3 linked regions of the Mytilus edulis genome follow. The protein of the gene in region 3 binds, or shares a complex with, the protein of the main gene of each other region. Links are inferred from orthologs where the notes say so. Each region holds a gene or a part of one and is shown on either strand. Other genes may lie near its edges.

Evidence for each region. Proteins that work in one complex are often made in the same cells at the same time.
Region 1: the proteins of KIF-binding protein-like (region 3) and kinesin-like protein KIF15 are in contact, whole or in part, in a cryo-EM structure (PDB 6ZPH), measured with the Homo sapiens proteins. The link is inferred for Mytilus edulis from reciprocal best matches to the Homo sapiens genes KIFBP and KIF15. Residues at the interface, in NP_056449.1 of Homo sapiens: Lys26, Tyr33, Lys36, Ile106, Glu109, Ile147, Ser150, Glu151, Glu153, Thr208, His209, Tyr212, Tyr213, Gln216, Gln219, His220, Phe224, Gln238, Glu248, Trp249, Ile251, Asn252, Thr255, Gln258, Phe259, Asn262, Tyr415, Val416, Thr417, Glu421; in NP_064627.1 of Homo sapiens: Leu187, Glu189, Ile191, Lys192, Lys193, Arg231, Glu232, Arg235, Arg271, Met280, Arg281, Leu282, Lys283, Glu284, Ala285, Gly286, Asn287, Asn289, Arg290, Leu292, Ser293, Gly296, Gln297, Ile299, Ala301, Val303, Asp304, Val305, Gly306, His312.
Region 2: the proteins of KIF-binding protein-like (region 3) and kinesin-like protein KIF18A are in contact, whole or in part, in a cryo-EM structure (PDB 7RSI), measured with the Homo sapiens proteins. The link is inferred for Mytilus edulis from reciprocal best matches to the Homo sapiens genes KIFBP and KIF18A. Residues at the interface, in NP_056449.1 of Homo sapiens: Ser150, Glu151, Tyr212, Tyr213, Gln216, His220, Gln238, Ile251, Asn252, Thr255, Gln258, Asn262, Gly414, Tyr415, Val459, Asp460, Leu461, Asn462, Pro463, Gln464, Leu467; in NP_112494.3 of Homo sapiens: Glu181, Thr183, Gln184, Lys185, Gly186, Arg274, Phe275, Val276, Glu277, Gly278, Thr279, Asn280, Ile281, Arg283, Ser284, Leu285, Leu288, Gly289, Val291, Ile292, Arg314, Lys317, Asp318, Gly322, Asn323.

What each region holds. Positions count from the first base shown.
Region 1 is NC_092348.1:48,704,827-48,712,635, reverse strand, and holds the start of kinesin-like protein KIF15, read left to right. Parts: upstream 1-4,805; 5' UTR 4,806-4,912; coding exon 4,913-4,919; intron 4,920-7,809. Other genes in the region: uncharacterized protein SCO4629-like, read right to left, coding at 1,724-2,181, 2,506-2,629, 4,502-4,576. UniProt on the Homo sapiens protein: Plus-end directed kinesin-like motor enzyme involved in mitotic spindle assembly.
Region 2 is NC_092350.1:77,030,867-77,038,277, forward strand, and holds the start of kinesin-like protein KIF18A, read right to left. Parts: upstream 3,005-7,411; 5' UTR 2,828-3,004; intron 1-2,827.
Region 3 is NC_092346.1:36,842,254-36,849,223, reverse strand, and holds the start of KIF-binding protein-like, read right to left. Parts: upstream 3,022-6,970; 5' UTR 2,899-3,021; coding exon 2,786-2,898; intron 1-2,785. Other genes in the region: cytoplasmic dynein 2 light intermediate chain 1-like, read left to right, coding at 3,344-3,354, 5,462-5,514, 6,474-6,529. UniProt on the Homo sapiens protein: Activator of KIF1B plus-end-directed microtubule motor activity. Required for organization of axonal microtubules, and axonal outgrowth and maintenance during peripheral and central nervous system development.

The DNA.
Region 1 (7,809 bases), on a different chromosome or scaffold from region 3:
AGTTTTCTGTGTTGTTTGTAGTGCTTATATTATTTACCTGTGTTGAATTTACAACAAGTTTATCAAATCTCGTCTCTAACTGACCTTTTAGCTTTACGGATATTGTGCACGACGGTTGCCACTAGGGGAGCAGAAACTGGCCACTCTCGTTTTTAACAGTCAAAGTCGTGTTATTGTGGATTTTTTTTTTTTGGTCCATGATATTGCTGTAATGTAAGTTTATCTCTTGGTATCTGCACTCTCTTTTGCAAAAATCCCAGGAGGGGCTGGATTTTTTTAAGGGGGTGGGGGGGGGGGGTGTTCATTTCTGTGATCTTTATTTTTTAGGCCATTTTTCTCTATTCTTAATACTTTTTGTAAATTCATTATTCTCTATTCTCTTTTCTTTCTTTTATTAGTTACTTTTCTCTCTTCTTAATACTTTTTGTAAATTCATTATTCTCTATTCTCTTTTCTTTCTTTTATTAGTTACTTTTCTCTCTTCTTAATACTTTTTGTAAATTCATTATTCTCTATTCTCTTTTCTTTCTTTTATTAGTTACTTTTCTCTCTTCTTTATTTTTTTGTCCAATACTCTCTATTCTGTAAACCTCCATATTGAACTAGAAGACGACACTTAACTGCATGTGTCAAATCAAAGAAACAGAAATTCCGAGGAAGTAAACAACAATCATTGAAAAAACAGGTAGTCGAATATGGTCACAAAATAAATTTGTATACGGAAATAGAGACATAGGGTGCCTTATTTGAATACAATTTATGAACAAACTATAAAAATTAGTTGGAAAGGGTCCAACTCATCAAATCGAGACTAAGCACAGAAAAAAACCCAACAAAAGACAAGCAACGATATAAGTGTACTCGCAATCACAGGTCGATCAAAACCGAATAAATAAATAAAAAAAAAAGATATGTAGTATGATTGCCAATGAAGAGTAGATATGGTGTGTGTCACAGTGTATGCAATTGTAGTAAAGACATATATTGTGTGAAAGTCCTAGAGATAGATTGTGTAGAAGTGTAGTGTAGACAGTCGAAAAGTTATGACTGTCAACAGAAATGAAGGAACCATCAATAGCACGAACGTTATCTATGACACCCAACAAAGAGTTTTTTACACCAAAAATAACTTAATTTGTCATGATATTAGCAAGATGCTGTTACGAAGTCCCCATGAATATCTGCCCCGGATGACTTGTCATCAGATGGTTTTAGAGAAGTAGGTCAAAGAAGAAGAAACTTTGTTTGGAAGACTTGAATGCTCAATATAATTAAAAAATAATCTTTGATAGAAGTCAGGGATCTGTTTAAAAGGTTATACATATCAGTTGTTGGACACTTACTGTAAGCCGAGATGAAACGATAGTTGTGGGGTTTGGTTGCGCGCTTACAAATGTGTTTAAAGCAACAAACAACCAATTAATCAGTCTCTTTTGAATTATTTCACATTTGGCATACCTCGCTATACTCATGATATAGGGTTTGTTCATTGTTGAAGACCTTGCGGTGACCTGTTCTTCAAACAGTCAAACCTCATCTAACTATGTTTTAATAAATATATCTATTGAAAAAAGGCGAGTGATAGCTATATGATTTTTTGCTGAAGTTGCCAAATTTGAAAATATGCTCACCAATTCCTCTATTCAGAACGCTATGAAAATACAATAATTCAAACATAAATGATTTAACGAGTTCAAGTGTATATTTTAATAGTTAATTGAAACTAGTATTGTCCAATGGACAACAAGTTCTCTCCAATGTTCCAAACATTATCTGGAATGTCTTGTTCAATCTGAAATCCAAGTTTAGGGTAATTTTTGACACGTTGGAGACAACCAACCATCATTTCCATTATTTTATCCAAATTACCGACATCATCGTTAGGGTATGACATTAAATCTATGGCAGGCGACGTAACACAAACTTTGTCTAACTGATTCATGCCGCCAGGCCACTGCTTAGCAAATGTTGCATATGTTCGTCTCTCCATAAACGGCATCTGAACCAAAATTATTGTTTTAACTGAATCCAGTAGACCAATCTTCTCAAGTATTTTATATGAAAATGTTACATTTTCTCCGGTGTTAGTTGCTTCTTCCTCCAAAAGAATCTTTTCCTCTGGTACACCCTGACTAACGGCAATATCTTTGAATATTTGTGCCTCAGGTTTTAGCCATTTTCCTGCAAAATAAAAATTAATCAAAATATCTCCTATTTGTTCTCAGAAATAAACGCAGAGCGAAAAAATACATTTTCAGTTAGTATTATAGGAATATCATACAAGCTTTCCATGTCCAGAGAATTATAAATGTTTGTCGTTTATAAGGCACATACCCCTTGAATCAAATCTCCACACTTAAAAAAATATATAGAAATGTATAGAATAAAAGCGACTATACAGTAACAACCAGTCCACAAGGCTCTGACCGGTCAATAAACGATATAAGTATACATTTCTTTTTCAATGAGGGAGTACTCGAATGCTACTAAAATATCCAACCTTACCTTTTGTAAGTGTTCCTTCATTCCCAGTAATCATCAACCATTTAGCAAATCCATCTAACCACAATTTTGAAGCATATTCTATTGTCCTTATATCAGGATTCCCGAATACGATAATCAAATCGCTCTAAAAAAGGAAAAAAATCCGCTAAAATCAATCAGTCAAAATGACAATAGAAGAAAATGACAATTTTAATAAAATCTAGAAATAATTTGGCAAGAACAAAATTAGATTTTGAATATTTATTAATCTGAATCAAGTTTTTTTGAATTACAATGGTAAAATTTGATTGCCGATGATCGACATGATCAGTCTGGTTATATAATCATGGACCGTTGAAATTCCTAATATCATTGACAATTAACATTATGTAAAATAACAAGTACACTGACATTAAACTCCTCCTAGAAAAAACCTGATTATTTGGTCATGGTGTTTTACGGTAATGTAAAAGGGGTATTGATCTGTGATGGACTAACGACGGTCAAACACGCAGAGCAGAGCACATAATACGTACTAACTAACAATTAAAGGTCAGAAAAAGGAGAAAATATTAAACAAGGATGTGTTCCTTCTAAATGGCTATAGCGAATGCTTGTACCACTCATTGATAATCAAATGCATTTAACAGAATGATATGTCAAATGGATAACACTAACATTTTTCGGCCGACTACACCAGAGGTGTTTGGAAATGGGCCCGAATCGATTCAGTGAACTAGAAATATACAATTCAGGCTGTTCATCCCATAACGCATGTGATCTTCGTTCAGAAAAAAATAATAGAATAAAGATTAGGTTAGAATAACAGACTTACGGTGACCTATAGTTGTTAATGTTTGTGTCATTTTGGTCTCTTGTGGACAGTTGTCTGATTGGCAACTATACCACATCTTCTTTTTTATATTTTCTTCTGCATGACTCGGCATATATATAACATATAAAACATAGTAAGCTATTATGTGCATCAATCTAACTAAAATATTGATCTCTGATTTCTTTATACTACATATGAAGTATAACGAAATCAAGGATCAATATTTTAATTAGATTGTAATGTGCATATAATATCTATCTGGTTAAACTCTTGTAGTATCATACTTTTAAATCGTGAAATTATTTGATATGCCCCCAAAAAAACCACGAAAATAAAACCCAATGGATTCACATCTTTAGTATCCTAGCATCAGTGGTGAAGTTTCCCTGGAAAATCGATTTGTATATAAACTATAGATTATAAATATCATGAGCAAAAGAGATGGAAAGACAATTGACACTAACATGACTAACTAGGTAAAGTATTTAGCATTTTTAAATCGAAATTGTGAGAAACCAGGGTCAAAGGGGCACTGTCTGAAATAAAAATGAAAATGAAAGATTGACGAGACTCTTCAGTGACTAACCTCAAGACTTAAAGACCACCATGCACATCTTATTTTCAATCTCCCCCTTAACCACTGGAAACTCATATATATATATATATAAGAGGGGGAGGACAGGGGGTACCCTTCTCCCTTCTCCCACCCCTCTTCTCCTTTCTCCTACCCCGGTTCTCCTTTCTCCCATTAGATTAAAACATCTCCTTTTGAGATATTTTTTTTGAAATATTAGATCATTTTTTAAAAGGAGAGATATTTTATTTTTTCTCCTTTCTCCAACTTTTTCTCCTTTCTCCCAGCCTTCCTCTCCTTTCTCCTACACCCTTTCTCCTTTCTCCCACCTCCTTTCTCCTACCCCCTTTCTCCCTGTCTCCCTTACCCCTGTCCTCCCCCTCATATAAGATACTCGGTGGTTCTTCAAGTTTTGTTTGGAGTTAAACTTCGGATACATCTGGCTTTCTAAATGTACCAGCGTCATTTCTTTAAGTTTTATTTCATTCTAGTTTCAATGTATCGTTTGAATCCGTGTTATTACCCACATAAATATTTTATACAAGAAATTATAATTTTTATCAGTCTAAACGACTCTAAATCACATGCTATAATATTTGGAAATTTACCTTTTCGAGTGTATGGTTGAGTTTCAAATAGTTCCATATAACTTCTGCCTGGTTAATTGACTCCTCATTTGGCATTTTACTTTTTTCATTCTTTAAGAAAATGCGTAGTGAAGATGCATGTGATGTTGAATGGAATAAAACGTGACGTTAGGGATATCCTTTCGAATTATGACGTCATGACATTGTGCTATAAATAAAATAGAAAATCCCAATACAAATTTTCGTAAATGACATATTAAATTTCACAATAATAGTTCAAAAATTCAAATACTCACAATAAAATGAATCGGATGATTTTGAATATACATTTATATTTTTAGAATTCATCTTTACGAAACTAATAAATAAATCGGCGCGCCATTTTTAAAAGAGCACAACATTTGCAACGTACACTTTTTGCTTTTTATACAAATGACAGGTAAACAAAATACTTTTTTGAAAAAAAACCTGCATTATTATAAGTAACACCACCATAAAATACAGTTAAACAGTATAAACATTTCCTTATTTGTAAAAAAAATAGATTTCGAAAATCAAGGTAAAATGCCTCAACATTCACAACTCAACACTTGCTGGACTTGTCAACAGACAACACGAAAATCCTACAGAAAACCGACTATATAAGAACTCATCATGCCTATGAAGAGTAGCAAGAGAATGTTTGCACAGAGTAACTTCACTGATCCCTATTTATATTCATTGACTGATTGCAAGTTTTAATACCACAAAAAAAGTCCAAATCCTTGGACCTTTCATTTAATATAAACATAATCATTGATAATGGAAAAGCACTTTACACCCATATTGGCCAATGGCTTAAAACATTATACATAATATACAGTTAACATGTACATGATATATAAAACAATGAAAATAAACAATGCAGACACTTTGAACTATAATCCTTGTCTTTCTTTAAATTAATAGACGTATTTACACTTGTATGCAAATTTGTCCGCCATTACGTAAAATCACACAGGTTCCCGTTAACTTTGACATCATAATCATGATAATTTAAAATATTTGACGTCACAATTTAAAAGTGATTGTTGCTTGACGTCAAAAGGTGATTCGGAGGCAAGATTCAGCTTAATACCAAAAGTGTAAATACGTTTATATATATATAAGAGATTCAAATTATATCAAGGACTGAGTCTCCCTTAGTGACTTTTTTAAAAAGGAGCCTATATTGCAAGTGTCCTGTTTGGTTTCAGGATTGAGGATATGTTTAAATTTATCTATATCATTTAAGGCCAATTAAAATTAATTGATAGATTTTCATTCCCGCCCGCCCCTGTGAAAACGTCCTGCCCCGATTTTTTTTATTTTGCAAAATTTACGATTTCCGCATTGTGTTCATTTCCGTTAACGGTAACCGTCAATAATTTCGTTTCATTCGAACTTCCTGTTTATACAATTTCGGTTTTCATACTTCTTGTTTCGAGTACTTTAAAACGATTATGTTGACAAAATCTGCTGCTCAATGATGACAGAATAATCTACGGAGAATATATAAAGATTACCAGAAGGGCATGAAATATTCGGGTTACGAGTATTAAATACGCTGTGTCCAACGCAAATCGCGGTATGTCTCAAATTGGAAATTTCTTTCATCAGAAAATTGTGGAGTTATGTAATAATACATTGACTTTGTGTAAGCAAATGTGGGCTGTGAAGGATTTCCAAATTTCAAGAATCGTGGAACAAATTGGTAGAAAAAAAAGAGTTCAAAAAGTCGGCAAACATACACATTATGTAATAGAAAACCCTTAGATTTACCTATGGCTATTGTTTTTGTTTAAAAACACAAAATACCATTTACAATGTAATTATATATGTGTCACTTCTTGCATAACTTGAGAATCTTAAAAGCGCCAACTTTACTTTTCCTGGCAACACTTGTTTGAGTGTTCATTTTATTCATAATACTTGTGCTGCATACCATTGCATTTGCATAAGTTTATGGGGACTACAAACCATTGCTTAGAGAGCAAAATAAATTTGGAGTTGGTAGTCAAATGAATAGAGAATTTCTCCATGGTTTTACTGTTTGCTGAAAATATGTTTCTAAAGTAGCAATTGCATGTAGAACAGTCCGCGTTGCAAATCAGAGATGTTTATTCAAGAATTATGTACGATTCTTTATACATGTTTAAACATTTACATGGTATAAGCTAAATTTTGTAATTATATCACTTGCATATATATGAAGTTCATGCCACAAGAAGGTTTCAAATTGAATAAAATTTAAAAAATAAAATCCTCCCACCCGCCCCATTTTTTTCAAAACTTTGGATGAAAATCTACTAATTAATTTTAGTTGGCCTAAGTTATATTTATTTTCATTTAAAAATTCTTTTCTTAATCATTCATTTATTTTACATTTAAAAAAGAAATGAAACTCATCATCTAGTACATCACAATGTTTACATAGTCTTAAATCTCTGGGAATTTTCCAGTATCTACCAGTTTCTATTAACAGTGATTAATAAGCAGTGGTCACTTATTCGAAATTTACGAATTAGTTGTCTATATTCATGATATTTAAAGTTTTGAGAAAGTAGGTATGGTTCAAAGTTATAGCTTTTCTTTATTTTTTTTAAAAGTTGCAGTTTGCTATTCTCTTGTAAATTTAATATTTAATCATTATATAAATTTTCATAGGAGTTTTCTAAATTTTGTTTGTATATTAGCCTATTATTTTTATCCTTATTTTGGTTAACAATTTCTAAATCATTTTGACTTCTGACATGATTTACATATGAGTACCAAGAATAAATGCCTGCATTATGTAAAGTTTTTGCCAAATTTAGTGTCTCTTTTAGTAAGGGGCTAGTTTCTTCCCTTAATAGTCTATTATGGAAAAGAAGAGTTTGTCTTTTTATAAAGCAATCAATAGGGTAGCTGCCTAATTCAGATCGAGCAGCTATATTACAAGAGCATTTTTTTTACTCCTAAAGTTAACTTATTAAATTTATTTAGTACTTTATCAGGTGGACTTTTGTCAATGAAATTAAGAGTATCTACTTTTTTTTATTATTTTTATCTCCTTTTAAATAATTGAAGCTTTATAAAAGGATGAGTATGCATCCATATATCATATTTTAGTTTTACTGAATTAGATGATGAATATATATTCATTTTGTTTCTGCATTAAACATGTAAAGAAAATAAACTTAACAATTAATCCTCAGATGTGAATAGCCCTGATAATTACTTATTTAAACGGTTAAGGTAATTTCCTTCAAAAGTATTTTTTCAAGTATATCACTACAATATTCTTGATGTTTGTGTGAATAATGTTTTGC
Region 2 (7,411 bases), on a different chromosome or scaffold from region 3:
ATATTCATAATTCTGTATATTATAATTTTCGGGAATACGGTGAAATATTTGATGTACAAACAAGGGTTTGGAAGTTACATTCGTTTCAAAAAAAATACAAGGGAACGTTATACAGCCATAAAATGTACTTTTTTATTAAGTTTAATATATTAATTAAATAATTAGGTCCAATAAATAAATCTAGACAGCTGTGTTCATATCAAAATTATTTTTTATAAATAACCCTCCTTTTTGTGTTTACAGAGTTATTTCCCTTGCATGGACAACTTTTGGTTTAGTTTTGATTGGAAATCAGCCGTGCATTATACAGCCAGTTTATTGCGATTTAAAGATAGTCATGATAGTTCAACCACTTGTCATTGCACACGAGATAGTAAGGATACTGAATAATGTGGTTTTAACAATCAATATATGTATTTTCAACATGTTCAACTAAAAACATACATAGGAATCCATGCAGTAGCGGCAGTTAACTTTGAATGCTATTCACATTCAATGCATTTTGAACTTCAGTCCTGAATGAGAATGGTTTACAGATTTCCCTGTATAAATATTATAACTGATATACAGATATGAATTTATTTTACTTTTATACATACAAGTATTTACAGTGATCTGACATAATTATTTTGTTAAATTTCTCGAATAAAAATAATGTTATATTATTTTCATTGTTTTTCAGTGCAACAGGTATTTTAGTCCTGTAGAATAATTGTTAGAAGGTTGTTGTTTATTTTTATTTATAAGCATTCACTATACATGCTATATAAGAATAAGAATATTTCATTAAATAGAATGTTAATGAAAAGGGAACATTCTAAAACTATCATGACTATACAAAGACAGATGACATATTTCAAAACTTTTCTTGTCTCTCATGGTACAACTGATTTTTATAGTTCGTTCTTATGTTGTACTGTCACAGGTGAGGTCATGGGGAGGATTGGGCGCCCACTAACATGTTAAATCCCACCACATTCTGTATGTACAATGTACGTGCGTGTCCAAAGTCAGGAGCCTGTAATTCAGTGGTTTTCGTTTGTTGATGTGTTAAATATTTGTTTTTCGTTCATTTTTTTTTTTACATAAATTAGGCCGTTAGTTTTCTGGTTTGAATTGTTTTACATTTGTCATTTCGGGGCCTTTTATAGCTGACTATGCAGTATGGGCTTTGCTCATTGTTGAAGGCCGTATGGTGACCTATAGTTGTTAATTTCTGTGTCATTTGGTCTCTTGTGGAGAGTTGTCTCATTGGCAATCATACCACATCTTCTTTTTTATACACACACACTAACATATACATTTGTATATAAAGAGTAATATCCATATTTATATTTTGTTTCTTTACATTCAAATGTTTATAAAGTTTTACTTTTCATTTTCAATATACCAACTGATGCTCTGAAAAAAGGAATGTATAAAGGTATCGTCATGTTATATGACTTTGGACGATAGAATCTGATGAGTGGTTGACATTTTCATGCTTTATGCTTCTATTTTGACCAAAAAACTAATATGGAGGATTGAAATTGACTAACAAGATGTAAAAGAAGCAAAATAAACAAAGATATGACCCAAATGATTAAAAAAATATATTTTATTATTTTTTAAAGAGAGGAAACAGTTTTTCCAGAATAGTAAAAAAATACCATTTTGAAAATTTTCTATTTCTTCGTTATTATTATGTGTATTGATAAAAGTGAAACTGTTTTGAAAATGTCTTCACAATGCCTTTAAAATGAGGTCAAGTTTTCTTAGATCAGTTGATTTAAAAAAAATCACTTTCCGTACCTACTTGTCGCTAATTAGTGAGACCCCCACAGGCCTCAGACATGACAAAACTTCAGCAGGTCAGGAATAACCACCAATTGGTGGATTATACCTCAATTGACGTATAATCCACGCTTCGTAATCCACCAATTGGGGTATATTGGTATAGACCAATTGATGTATAATGCAAGTTTTTTGTAATTAAATGCTAGTGTGAGATAGGAGCATGATTTTGCAACTTGCAACCTATTTCATGACCCTTATTGAGTCCCCCAAAGTTTCAGTTTTGTCAAAGCCTGCTGCATCTCTTGAGAATGCATGTGTATAACAATTCTTTTGTTGAAACATTTGTGCTATTGACCATGATTGACTTTTGATAATTATAGATTATCGTTGATCATCTCAACGAGATTGATTTTCTCGCTTGAGCTGGTACAGCAATCGAGTTCAGATGACCAATAATAATCTCTGTTTATCGCTATTTTACCTATGACAACGTTGTCAATTTCATGTCAATTTTGTTAGCAATGCCACCATGGCCACGTGGCCTCCTTAGTTTCTAGAGATATTTTTTCCATCTCAAGCGAGAAGCATGATATGAGAATTATCACAAAAAAGATCAAAAGAAAAATGCACAAAATAGCGATAATGAAAGTTACATATTAACAAAGAGCTCCATTCACCTCTGGAGTTGTACTGTGATCATATGACTGCAGACAGGTAAATTTGCCAATCAAGAATTGACAAGATAACAATAGAAGAAACTTCAAATATAATTATTGATTAAATGCAATATGTTATGTTACAATACTAAACTAGGAATGTTTGACAAGTTTTCATACCATACATTATACGGTTTTAAGAAAAATGCTCCATTTTGGTGGAATAATTTGTTTTGGAAAAACAAAGAATTATACACCAATTGTTCTATACCATTATATGTCAATTGGTGGATTTAATATACGTCAATTCAGGTATAATCCACCAATTGGTGGTTATTCCTGACCTGTTCAGAACGACAGAAGAACAAAATTATGTTTTATCTGCAAATTATAACCCTTTAGATTACTCCGATCCTCTTATAACTCACGTATTGTTCACATCTATGATTGCATACACTTTTTATCTTTACAATAAAGGTACTCGGGTATTATTATTCGTAAACTGGGGAAAATATGTTTGTTGACATCTTTAGCATCTTCCGTTTAAAAACCCCACGCCTCATGAAACGAGTAATCTGATTGGCTTATTTCAAAACTAAAACAAAATCAATTTCGACACTACCTAGAATATTCGGAATTATTTTTTTGAGGCATTTACATTGCTTACTGCAAGTTGGCTAATTGTGAAAGTAAAAATACAGGGCCGTAACTACATTGAGGCAAATGAGGCAAAAGCCTCATGTTTGAAATTTCAAAAAAAACAACAACAAAAAAACTACACAAAAAGATATTTTGTCAAATTTTTTTGACGGAAAGTGTCTTGCAAGAAGCCAGTTTTCTTCACTCTCTGGTGTAGCCCCTTCATGTTTTTCGTGATCCATGTTTCTATTTTACTTTTAGTTATCAGAGTTGATGGTCTATTGTTTGTACTTCTATGTCCCGGGTTTGTCTTTTGTTAATTTATTGTCCTACTTAATGACTTTAGTCTGAGTGTTGATTTTCATTTGTAAACGTGTGGTTTTGCAATGTTGCATGCCAACCGATGTCCAGACAATGTGCGAGAAAATATTTTAAGACTATACGATGCTACAAGACACAGAAATGAATCGCCGTTTCTGCATGGAGAATTGAACTTGATATAAAAGAGAACAAAACTGGCTTTTTTCGTAGGTAAAACTAGAAAGCTGACATGGTTTAAATTGAAATATGGTCACCAATTCCACGGTATCAAAAAAATTGAAAATAACCCAACAACAATGTATTGCCATATGACCTTTTACATTGAAGGGTTACCCTTGTATTAAGTCATGTTCAGACTCTTTTAACAGAAAAAAAGGAATATTGAGTACACGTGCACGGAACCTAATCGCACACAAAGTCAATGTATAGAAAAATACGAACGATCAATTGTTAAAGTTTAATTCCTGTTCTTCATCTTGATAGTTACTGGATGGTCTCCAACAATAAAAGAATCATTAATATCGTAAAACAAGGTCAAGATGGTCCCTAGTGTCGACTTTAACAGTACTAGTACGGTGACCTATAGTTGTTAATGTTTGTGTCATTTTGGTCTTTTGTGGATAGTTGTCTCATTGGCAATCATACCACATCTTCTTTTTTATAGTACTTAAAGTATAATACTGCACTGTCACTATATTTAAATCTAGTCATAAAAAAATCACCAAAGTCTAAGTACAAATTGTCAATACAAGACAGACAGAATCGGTATTAAGGATTATGAGAATTACGATTTTTGCTCTATCCATCATATATATATCGATCTTTTTTTAATGTTATCACTAAAACATAAAAGTCTTAAATACAATGAATTTTTGTTATTGCTATGAGACCAGAATATTGTTGAAAAAATAGCTCAGAGTGCATGATCTTGCATTATTTTTCTCAGAGCGTCTGGGGGCCTTCAGCCGGGGAGGGGGCTAGACAGAATTATAAGAGAGTATTAAAATGCATAGATATAATACACAATATGAAATAAATACTATTTACAATATCTAAAATTTCTACGTATTTTTAAAATCAAATGACAGGTTTTGACACACACACGTATCATATTTACATCTGAGAATAAAAACACTAACTTTTGATTATCATCTAAAGTATTAAAATTATCATTAAAAGTTTCAGCAACATAATATAAATGGTTTCTAAAATCGTCATAAAGGGGGCATCTTAATAAAACATGCGCTTCATCTTCAATAAAAACGTCACATATATGGCACACTCTACTTTCTAAAACAATATTTTCATATCTCCCTGTTTCAATTTTTAGGGGAGCAACACCACATCTAAATTTGGCCAAAGCACTTCTGTGACTGAAGGGTAAAGCTATTTGGAGTATTCTTCCGGTTCAAAATTTTCCTGAAACAGTCTGTAAGTACCTCTGCCCGATACAGATTTATCAGAATGTAAAACAGCATGCCAATTATCAACATGTTTTTCGTGTAATTTTGACATACAACAATTTATAACATAGTTAGTGTCCATATTACAGCTAACAAAGAATAAGACAATAACATCTAACAGCAAATATATTTTCAGAATAACAGATAACAAAGAATTAAATTGCCCCATAACAGCATAACAGTTAAACACCTTGCTCCCCTCATATCTGTTTAGACTAAAACGATAAAAAGATACAAACGATCAAGGCACGAGTTAAGACATCACCCCTACCATTCCAGTGTTGATACATTATCCAAAAAAATCTTGGTAAATTAGAAAAAGTGTATTAGCCTTTTATAATTTTCAAACACTTTCAGCTCTTTTCAGCTAAGAGACGGCTAGCTTTTTAGAAAAGCTATTACTTGTTGATGATGAAGGTACTGTTAATCAACCGAATGAATCTAAGAACACATTTTAACTACTTCTACTCGACAAAAGGTAAGTCGTTCTTTTTTATTCAATTTAGGTTTTACTAATTTATATAACATGTATAAAGCTGAGTGTTGTTTGTTGTGTATTATTGATTTGTGTTTTACAAAGCTATACATAGATCCAATATACACATGAAGAAATTTACACATTTTATATAATTTACACATGCAGAAGGTTTAAATGTCTGGTGTGGTTCTCAGTTTGTTCGACCGAATATTGATCTTTCTTTGTTTTCGAGTGTTACAACATTTTTTCGCGAAAAATTTATTTAAAATTTGAACTATAACAAGTTTCTTTAATCATGTTAATCTTGAAATGAAAAACGTTAAATTGGTAAATAGAATATTTATAATTTGAGAAATAATCCAAATTATGTAAAATGCTTTCATTCCAAAATATAGAATAAATCCCATTTTAGCACATTTTGAATGCCAAATTGAAATTAAATTAAGTCACAAAATATATATTTCACAGCAGTTACAAACACATTACATTCATTAACACTATGGATTAATGTACTTTTTGATTTAAAATAACCTGATGTAATGTTTTCATTTACTATGTGTCTAGGATATAATTAGCTCTCTTTTTTATATTTCAGCAGGAAATAAAAAAAAGTAGAATTCAAACGACTTTGAGTAACTATTGTAAGGCAAGGTATGATGAACGAACTTTAAGCGTGCATTAGACGCACGAATAACGTACATAAGCGTTTATCGGGCTTTCAAGTAACATATTTGGCGTATGTCAGGCGTTTGTCTAACGTAAATGGAGTGCACGCTACGAAGAAAAAAAAGTCTCTTTAAGGTGGTACCTAACACTACAGGGGGATAACTCTGTAAAGTCACTGGCCTAAACGTTGTAATTATGGTGTGCTGTAAGAGGAATATTAAGCTTCTCATTGATCAAAATTGGTGTTTGTCAAATTGCTATATAACCAGTGTAATTTTTCTGACAAAACGGTTGGTTCAAATTTTAATTTTTTTTTATCTTTTTGTCAAAGGGTTAGAGTAAATACTTTGTCAAAATTTTATGAAAATTAAATGAGCCAAATTAATTTAAGTGAAAGCGTTGGGTACCACCTTAAAAGTAACGTTTTTGAAACGCGTCCCGGTCGTATCTGGGACGATAATCTTTGCTTTCGGCGTGTCTGGGACGTTTAATTATGGGGTGTTTGTTACAAACATACCCGCATACGTTTTAGTTAGAGCCGAACTATCTTGTATACACGTGCCCTAAACGTGTCTCAAACTTATCTGTAGCGTTGAAACGCGTTTGTGGCGTACATGTATTAACGCTTGGCAAACGCTTGGGCTGATTTCTTGGAGTTTTAGCGTTGAACCAAGTGTATATCTCTGCATTTCGACGTACTTCAAACGTATGCAACGCACGTTTAACGATTGCTAAAGCGTTCCCCTGACGTGCAACTAAGGTAAACGGACTTTATCAATTTTCTCTGTACGCAATTTATTTTGTATACTATGTATTATTATTTCATTCTTTGTACCAATGTGTATACAGTGGTTTTAAAGAATAAAATTGTCTTGTCTTGTCTTTGTGCACGCCGGTCTATACGCCAATGTGTGGGTAAACGTCAATTAGACAGCAACAAGTGACACAGCCAACATACATCCAATATAGAGCATCACTTCAAGTCAGGTGTCTATACAATGTGTCAAGCTCTGCATTGTCTCAGAGTTCATTAAAAATGTATACCAGATCTGGAAATAACTGCTCCAGTATTGATATTCAAGAATTGTTACACCCATCAATCAATTTAACTATACTAAAGATAATATGTATTTTAAAGCTAATATAAGGAAATACTTCCGCAATAATTTGGTTTTGGTAAAAAAGTCCTAATTCGTTTTTGAATAATTACTCAAAAGTTTTGAAATCAAAGTTGCAAACCATCTATTGGTACATTTTTAATAACACTATATGTTAATGTAGTAAGTATTCAGAAATACACCAATTGTGGGTTTTTTTTAGGAAATATTGTTATTATTGTTTCTATGTTAGTAATGTTTAGTACAATCAGCAATCCTCATATTTTAGAAATCCAATTTTTACGAGCAGATATT
Region 3 (6,970 bases):
TCTGGATACTTTCTTATGATCATAAACAAGCTTCTGTCCAAGTTTGGTAGAAATTCAGTATAGTTTAAGAAAGTTATTAAAATTTCAAAAACTTTAACCACAGAGTGAATATTTGTGGACGCCGCCGCCGACGACGCCGAGGGAATGTAGGATCGCTTAGTCTCGCTTTTTCGAATAAAGTCGAAGGCTCGACAAAAATGTATGTAGTTTCTGTTACAGCTTTTTGATTGTGTACTTCATACATATAAATGTCAGGTTTGCTAATTAGATGACCTTGAACTTATATACTATAGAGTAATATGGGGTTATGAATTTATACCACATGGCAATACTTTGGTTGTGAATTGATTTTTACAATGGATATTAGTTCTTTATTTAAATAACTTTTGGTGTTAACTTTTAATTTAGGCTGTGGCTATTTTGCCCGCATCAGCAAAATAAAATAACAATTTCAAATTTTGCTGGCTCTGATTAAATATCTAAATTCAAGAAGTCAAATTAAAATAGCTTTTTTCTATAGAAATGGTTTATAATTTTGTTTACACATACATGACATATATACATTTCAAAGAACTGACTATTATTTCAAAAGCAAGTTAGTTGAATTCAAACATTTTTGTACATGTCTGTGGTTGACTTTTTTATATTTTTTATTAAATTGTTGATGCACTGAAATTTTTAACATGTATATTTTTTTTTATAAAATAAAGAAAAAAACCTTTTTTTAATTCTTATGCATACATGTAGCATTATATAGAGTGTGTGACTGATTTTCGAAATTATTTCAGCTGCATGTACATGGTTTGATACAATTTCATTGCAACAAATGGGATGCTCTTTATGATTTTTTTTCTTTTAACTTTGACTGATAAATGTTTTTAAACAATTATATGTACATTTTTGTATCTCAAATATTATTAGCTGTTTCTGGGAACAGTATATGTCAGTATATCTGTTTATATGTTCCTGGCTGTTTTCTTATTGAAATACTGGTGTATCAGTAATTATTTAATTCTTTTAAGTTGACAGTGCACATTTTCATAGAACTTTTCAAAAGCAAAATCAAATTTCCTCTTTACAAAGTACAGGCAAATAACACAGTTATTATTTTATTGCTGGTGCCAGTAAAATAGCCATTTCTGCAGCTTGAATTTAGATATTTTAATCAGTGCCTACAAAATAGCCTCTGCCTTTAATTCATGCAAGCACCTGTTCATTACTGAAGAGCAATATTAGTATTATTAAAGTATATAATCTTTTACATTTTGTGAATGTTTAATTTGAAAACAATACAGTTAATGTTATGAATAGGTCCTTGTATAGTCACAAGTGTTTCTCGTGGCACCAAGAACGAGGGTTGATTTGAATATACACGTAACAATGTAATGTATAGTATTAACTGAATAGTATAGTCACTGTGTACATGGTGTAGCTGTATCAGGTCCATTTGCGCCCAATACACTTTCACATCCCACATGTTCGCCCCATAAACTTTCGACCCAATTCTTATTCAAATTCCAGTTGCATTATTAGATTTTTTTTTATACATGTACAAATTTATTCTACCAAAATTAAAATTTAGGAATTATTATGTGAAATATGTGTTTTTTTTCTTTTTTTTATTATTGATTTGATGATTAATTATTCAAGGTTAATTATGTATGATTGCTGATAATTGCTATTCATACACAGCCAAAGGTATTATTATTGTGTGTTTGAAAATCTGGTTGTTGTTTTAGCCTGCTTTGAAGTAAATACTGCATGTATTTAGTTACATTGTGTAAGTAAAATGTAGTATGAATAAAACATATTTTTGAACAGCTTGATCCCTTTGTCATGTTTGTTCCCACTTTATTTATATTAGAAACAATGATTTTTTTTGTGTATAGCAATGCACTATTTAAACCAAAACATAGTTATTTATTCAACACAAAAAAAAACCAAAACATTGTCAGATTTTCACTTACATGACTTTATTTTGAAACAATGAAAAAAAAAATGTCTATAGCAATACACTAACCATGGAAACATGACTTGCGCCAAAGGCACAAAAACTTGATTACAAAATTATATAAAAAAAAGTGCAAACATTTAGGGAGCGAACAGACTTTGGTTGCAAATGTCTAGGGTGCGAAAGTGAAAGGGGGTGAACATGAAAGGGCACGAATGTAGGCGAACTGACCAAATTCTTTTGTGGAAGTCTACTATACCCTATATGAGGATAGTAATGGGGATACCTTCATGACGTATAACGGTAAAAATTCTTGCCAAATGATGTTAACGATAATTTTTAGTGCATGACAATAAAATGTACACTTTCTTTTAGACGATATAACAATCAGCGGAATTTGACAAATCACGCTATTTTTCCCCCCAAAATAATGGTAACGTAATTATTTTTGAGACATTTGACGAATCACGGTAAAAAGTTAAACAATTTGACATTAACCGTAGCCAGTAATGACCGTTTGACGCCTGACGGTAAAGGGCATTAACACTCTCCTATATACACTTACAACTGACTTTAAATTATAAATACATGTAATTGTAGGTCATTGTAGGTCTTCTAAAAAAAATTCAAAAAATGCACTGGCACTTGTTTTATGTGAAACGGAAAAGGAAGACCTCTACCATCAAATGAAACAAGTGCATGTGCATAAATCGAGGCATACATTTATGTCTGGCACATGCATCCATCTCAACCGACACTGTCACTGGCAGAGTCTTCCAGTGACACTCACTGACAGTGTCGGTTGAGATGGATGCATGAAGCTAGGCTATTTACCTGTATGGATCATCTTCTGGATCGTCGTTTAAGTCCTCATCTGACAGCTTCGTTGCACTGTCGATACGTTCAAATCCTTCACTACTCAAGAAATCTTGCCAGGCTTTAGACATGGTGAAAGTGTAGCGAAAGTGATTGTTCCAGAATAAAATATGCTAAATTTTTCAGTTACTGGTTTGGATCTTATTTATTGTTGGTTGAGCCAACGCACTGAGCGAAAATAAATCTGGAACCAGCAGTCATAGTAACAGACCGGTACCGGTTAAAGTGAGAATATTTTCCGAATAGATTATCCGCAAGGAAATAAATAGTTTTACCGACAAGAAAATATATTTTTTGAAGAAGAAAAAAAGGTTCAGAATTATCTCTGTGGTATTTTGTTCTTTTATTTACTTAATGACTTATTTCATTGTGCAATAAAAACTTTTAAATGGTACGTTGTGTTCATTATTTATTTTTTAATTTTAGGTTATCACATTTACCATAAACAATACACTGGTTTAAAATCCTAAACAGAACCAGTAACATTCCACTGAATATTTACATCTACTATCAGAAATGTCAAAAGGGTTAGAATTTCTTCTTCCATGACACCTTTTAATTTCTGTCAATTTCATGAAAGATTCTGTTACAGAGTTCAGCCTTTTGAAAACCACAAAAAATCAACCTTCATATCTCTAACACTGAGTAACAGTAAGAAATTGATCACTTAGGAGATAACTGTATTGTATATTAAGCTCCGGCGGCATCAATTTGGGATTTGATGGTCGCAAATCAAGTTTACTGGCGACGCGTTAGCTGAAAACAGAAAACAACGTTAAAACATGTATTTAAAATCTGTCATATGCCGTCTGCCCTTGCGCGTACGTCCCATAGCATCAATTGACAATTGATGCCATGTAAATAAGTGACGTTATCCAATCAAAATGAACGTTACAAACGATGTTGCATTAGAATAAACATTTAATGAATGGCTATTATTTACTTTGAATTTATTGAACCATAAAACTAATTTTTGACTCTTCACATTGAATAATCCGCAATAGATTATTGCCATTCATTATAAATAAATTTCTATCAAAAATAAGGCTCAAAGAACTTTTTATATTATATATATTAACAACGTCAGAGTGGGCGTGTCGTCTTCAAAATTGACAACATTAATAATAAAACTAAAAATTTTAACCAATCAGAAGACAGTATATACACCAAATTTATTTATTTGAAGAACTCTCAAAACAGGGGTTTCCCAAATTTTGGACACACTTTACTCAAAATGTTAAAAAGGTGAAACCATACATACAGAAGATTTTATGAAATTAAAGTATGTAATGAATTGTTTCACACAATATTATCCAATGCAAGGTTTTATCATTTTGATAAACATGATAAAGTGAAGTTATAAGTCTTAGGTGCACTGATACACCAGACTACACCGTACATGTACCGGTACTTCATTCTACTTATCGCTATTTGTCTGCCATTAATATAAGGCAGGCATATAACCTGTGAATGGGGACGAAGTCTGTATTTTTTTTTTTGAATTCAAACATGTTGATAAAAGAAACGGAAATACCATAATGTTTCCAATATTGGTTCTGTTGTTAGGGATTTAGTTGTGACGTTATTTAAGTTATGACGTCATATTCAATGTAAACAAAGAAACGCTGTTATCCAGGTAATGTTTTTTCATATCAAACAATTATTAAAAATGATTAGGTGTTGAATTCCTTCCTATATTTTTGTTGATATGTTGATAAATATATATTTTATTCAAAGTCTCATGCAAACAAGATCGGAAACGGAAGAAACTGGAAACGGAAGTAGATCTGAAAAAAAAAGTTAACGATTTTGAGTTCATTAGTAGAATGAAAAATTCAGGAAATTTTCCCGATTTTTTTTTTTTTTTAATTGATTTTTCTACCGTAATTGGGGACATTGTCCCATATTAATCATATTACTGGACATCACAACTTGGTCACCTTAAAATTTTGATGTCACAATAGAAATTGTCTGATGCCACTAGGAACATATATATATTGATATTCGATATACTGTTTCACAATACACCTTATCGCTTTTTTGTCCGCCATTACTGGATATCACACGGGTTCCTGTAAAAAGTTGACGTCATAAAACAAAATATCTGACGCCACAATGGAAAAGTGATTGTTGTATGCGTCAAAAGTTCAAGCAGCCGGGTCAGCCAGGATTAGCGATAAGGTGTATTAGGAAAAGAGATTGTTGCACAATGTCAAAATTTTAAGTGTTGCAGAATCCCAAATAACAATAAGGTCCCTAGATTAGTTGTATTTTCTGATAAGGTAACACTAAAATAATGATAGCCAGGTGAGAAATGCAGGCTTTGGAGTTACAAAGCCTCCTGTCTTGGTATACATGGTATAATACAGTAACTGTTTGCCAAGAAAGATGTATAAAAAACAAAGGATAACTTAAAAATAGATATTATATAAACTTATCTAGACTATTTTTAATCAAAGTTCCTACATACTATTATAAACTCTAAATTGTCAAAGCATGATAGACAAGTGGTGAATACATTAAACAGAGGACAAGAAATACAGAAAACCAATACAAAATTTGTAGTGCTAAAAATGCATATATATGATCTATAGTTACAGATATTTTAATGGAAAAAAAAATCTTTGCTTTCAGACTAGAAAAATCTTTATGGGATGTTGCAATACAGGAATCAAATGAAAGTAAAGGTATGATATCAGTATTTATTATACGACCGCAAAACAATTTTTGCGTCGTATAATACTATATCATGTTAGGATTGACTTTGGGAGGTTATGGCTCAAACAAATTAGAAATTAGGGGCAAAAAAAGAGGGAAAACTAGTTTTTCTGGTTAATGGACAATTAAGACAATTTAAAACCAGTGTAAGGGAGGTAATCCAATTACATTTAAAATACAATGTTGTCTATGTTTTGATTAACCTCCCTTACACTACTTGTAAAATATGTAAAAAGAAATGTCAGGTTTTGGACATGTAAAAAAATATATAAATAATTCAAACCATATAACCAATTCTAAGCTCATTGACTACAGTTATTCTGTGTCAGAAACCTATTGTGTGTCAAATATTTAATTACAATCCAAATTCAGACCTGTATCAAGCGTGAGTATTGTCTCCATTTTTGCCCCAACTGTTCAGGGCTGTACCTCTGCGGTTGTATTCAGCTGCGCTCAGCGAAGCAATTTATTCTCTATAATGTAATGTTGAGATTATGGATACAATACAGAAAAGAAAAGATATGTGAACTGGTATCCATCTATGACACAAAATTTAAATCAATGAAAAAAACACATAGCAAAGGAACAGCGCTTTTATTGTTGTTCTTCATCTGATAGTCACATTGAGACCTTCAGCATGGAGCAAAAAAAAATTCACTGCATCACTGCAAGTATTAGACAACCCTTAGCACATACAATGAAGAATATTTACACCTAAATGATTTTAATAAAATTCATTAAAATTTTGCGAGGACATACCCCATTCTCAAAATTCTGACTAGAAGGTCATTGCCACGTGGTTTAATAAAGTTATTCTATGGAGAGTTGATGACCTCAAAATAAAAATAAATCTTCATCTCAATTTAAAAAGTAAATAAAATAGCAATGAATTTTGAAACCTCTGGAAAATTATATGTTGTCATTTTAGCTGAAGGTGCTACTGGAGAAGAATCATCAGTGTTTATTGTAGGAGCAAAAAATTCAGTGAGTATTTTTCTGTTGATATTCTTTTGAGTCTTTTTGAGAAATATTGAATGGAAGGTTTGTAATGTTTTTCACCTCCGGGTGTGAAATGTTCTTGCTGTATTGAAGACCCATTGTTGGCCTTTGGCTGTTTTCCGCTCTTTGGTTGGGTTGTTGTATCTTTGACTCATTCTCCATTTCCATTCTCAATTTTATGATGTACCAGTAAATGTTTTGATAGAGAAGAACTATCATACATTTGAAATTTTCCACCTGTGACATCACTAGTACAGTATACATTAGTGTTGAGTGTTGACTGAATCACAGTGAAACACAAGTGACTTTGAATGATCTGATATACAGAGAGATATATATTTGAGAGTGAATCATATGGTTAATGTTTGTCACTTTTTAGTTTATGTTTGTTTGGAGATATGGTTCAAAAGTAACTTTTGTTTTTGT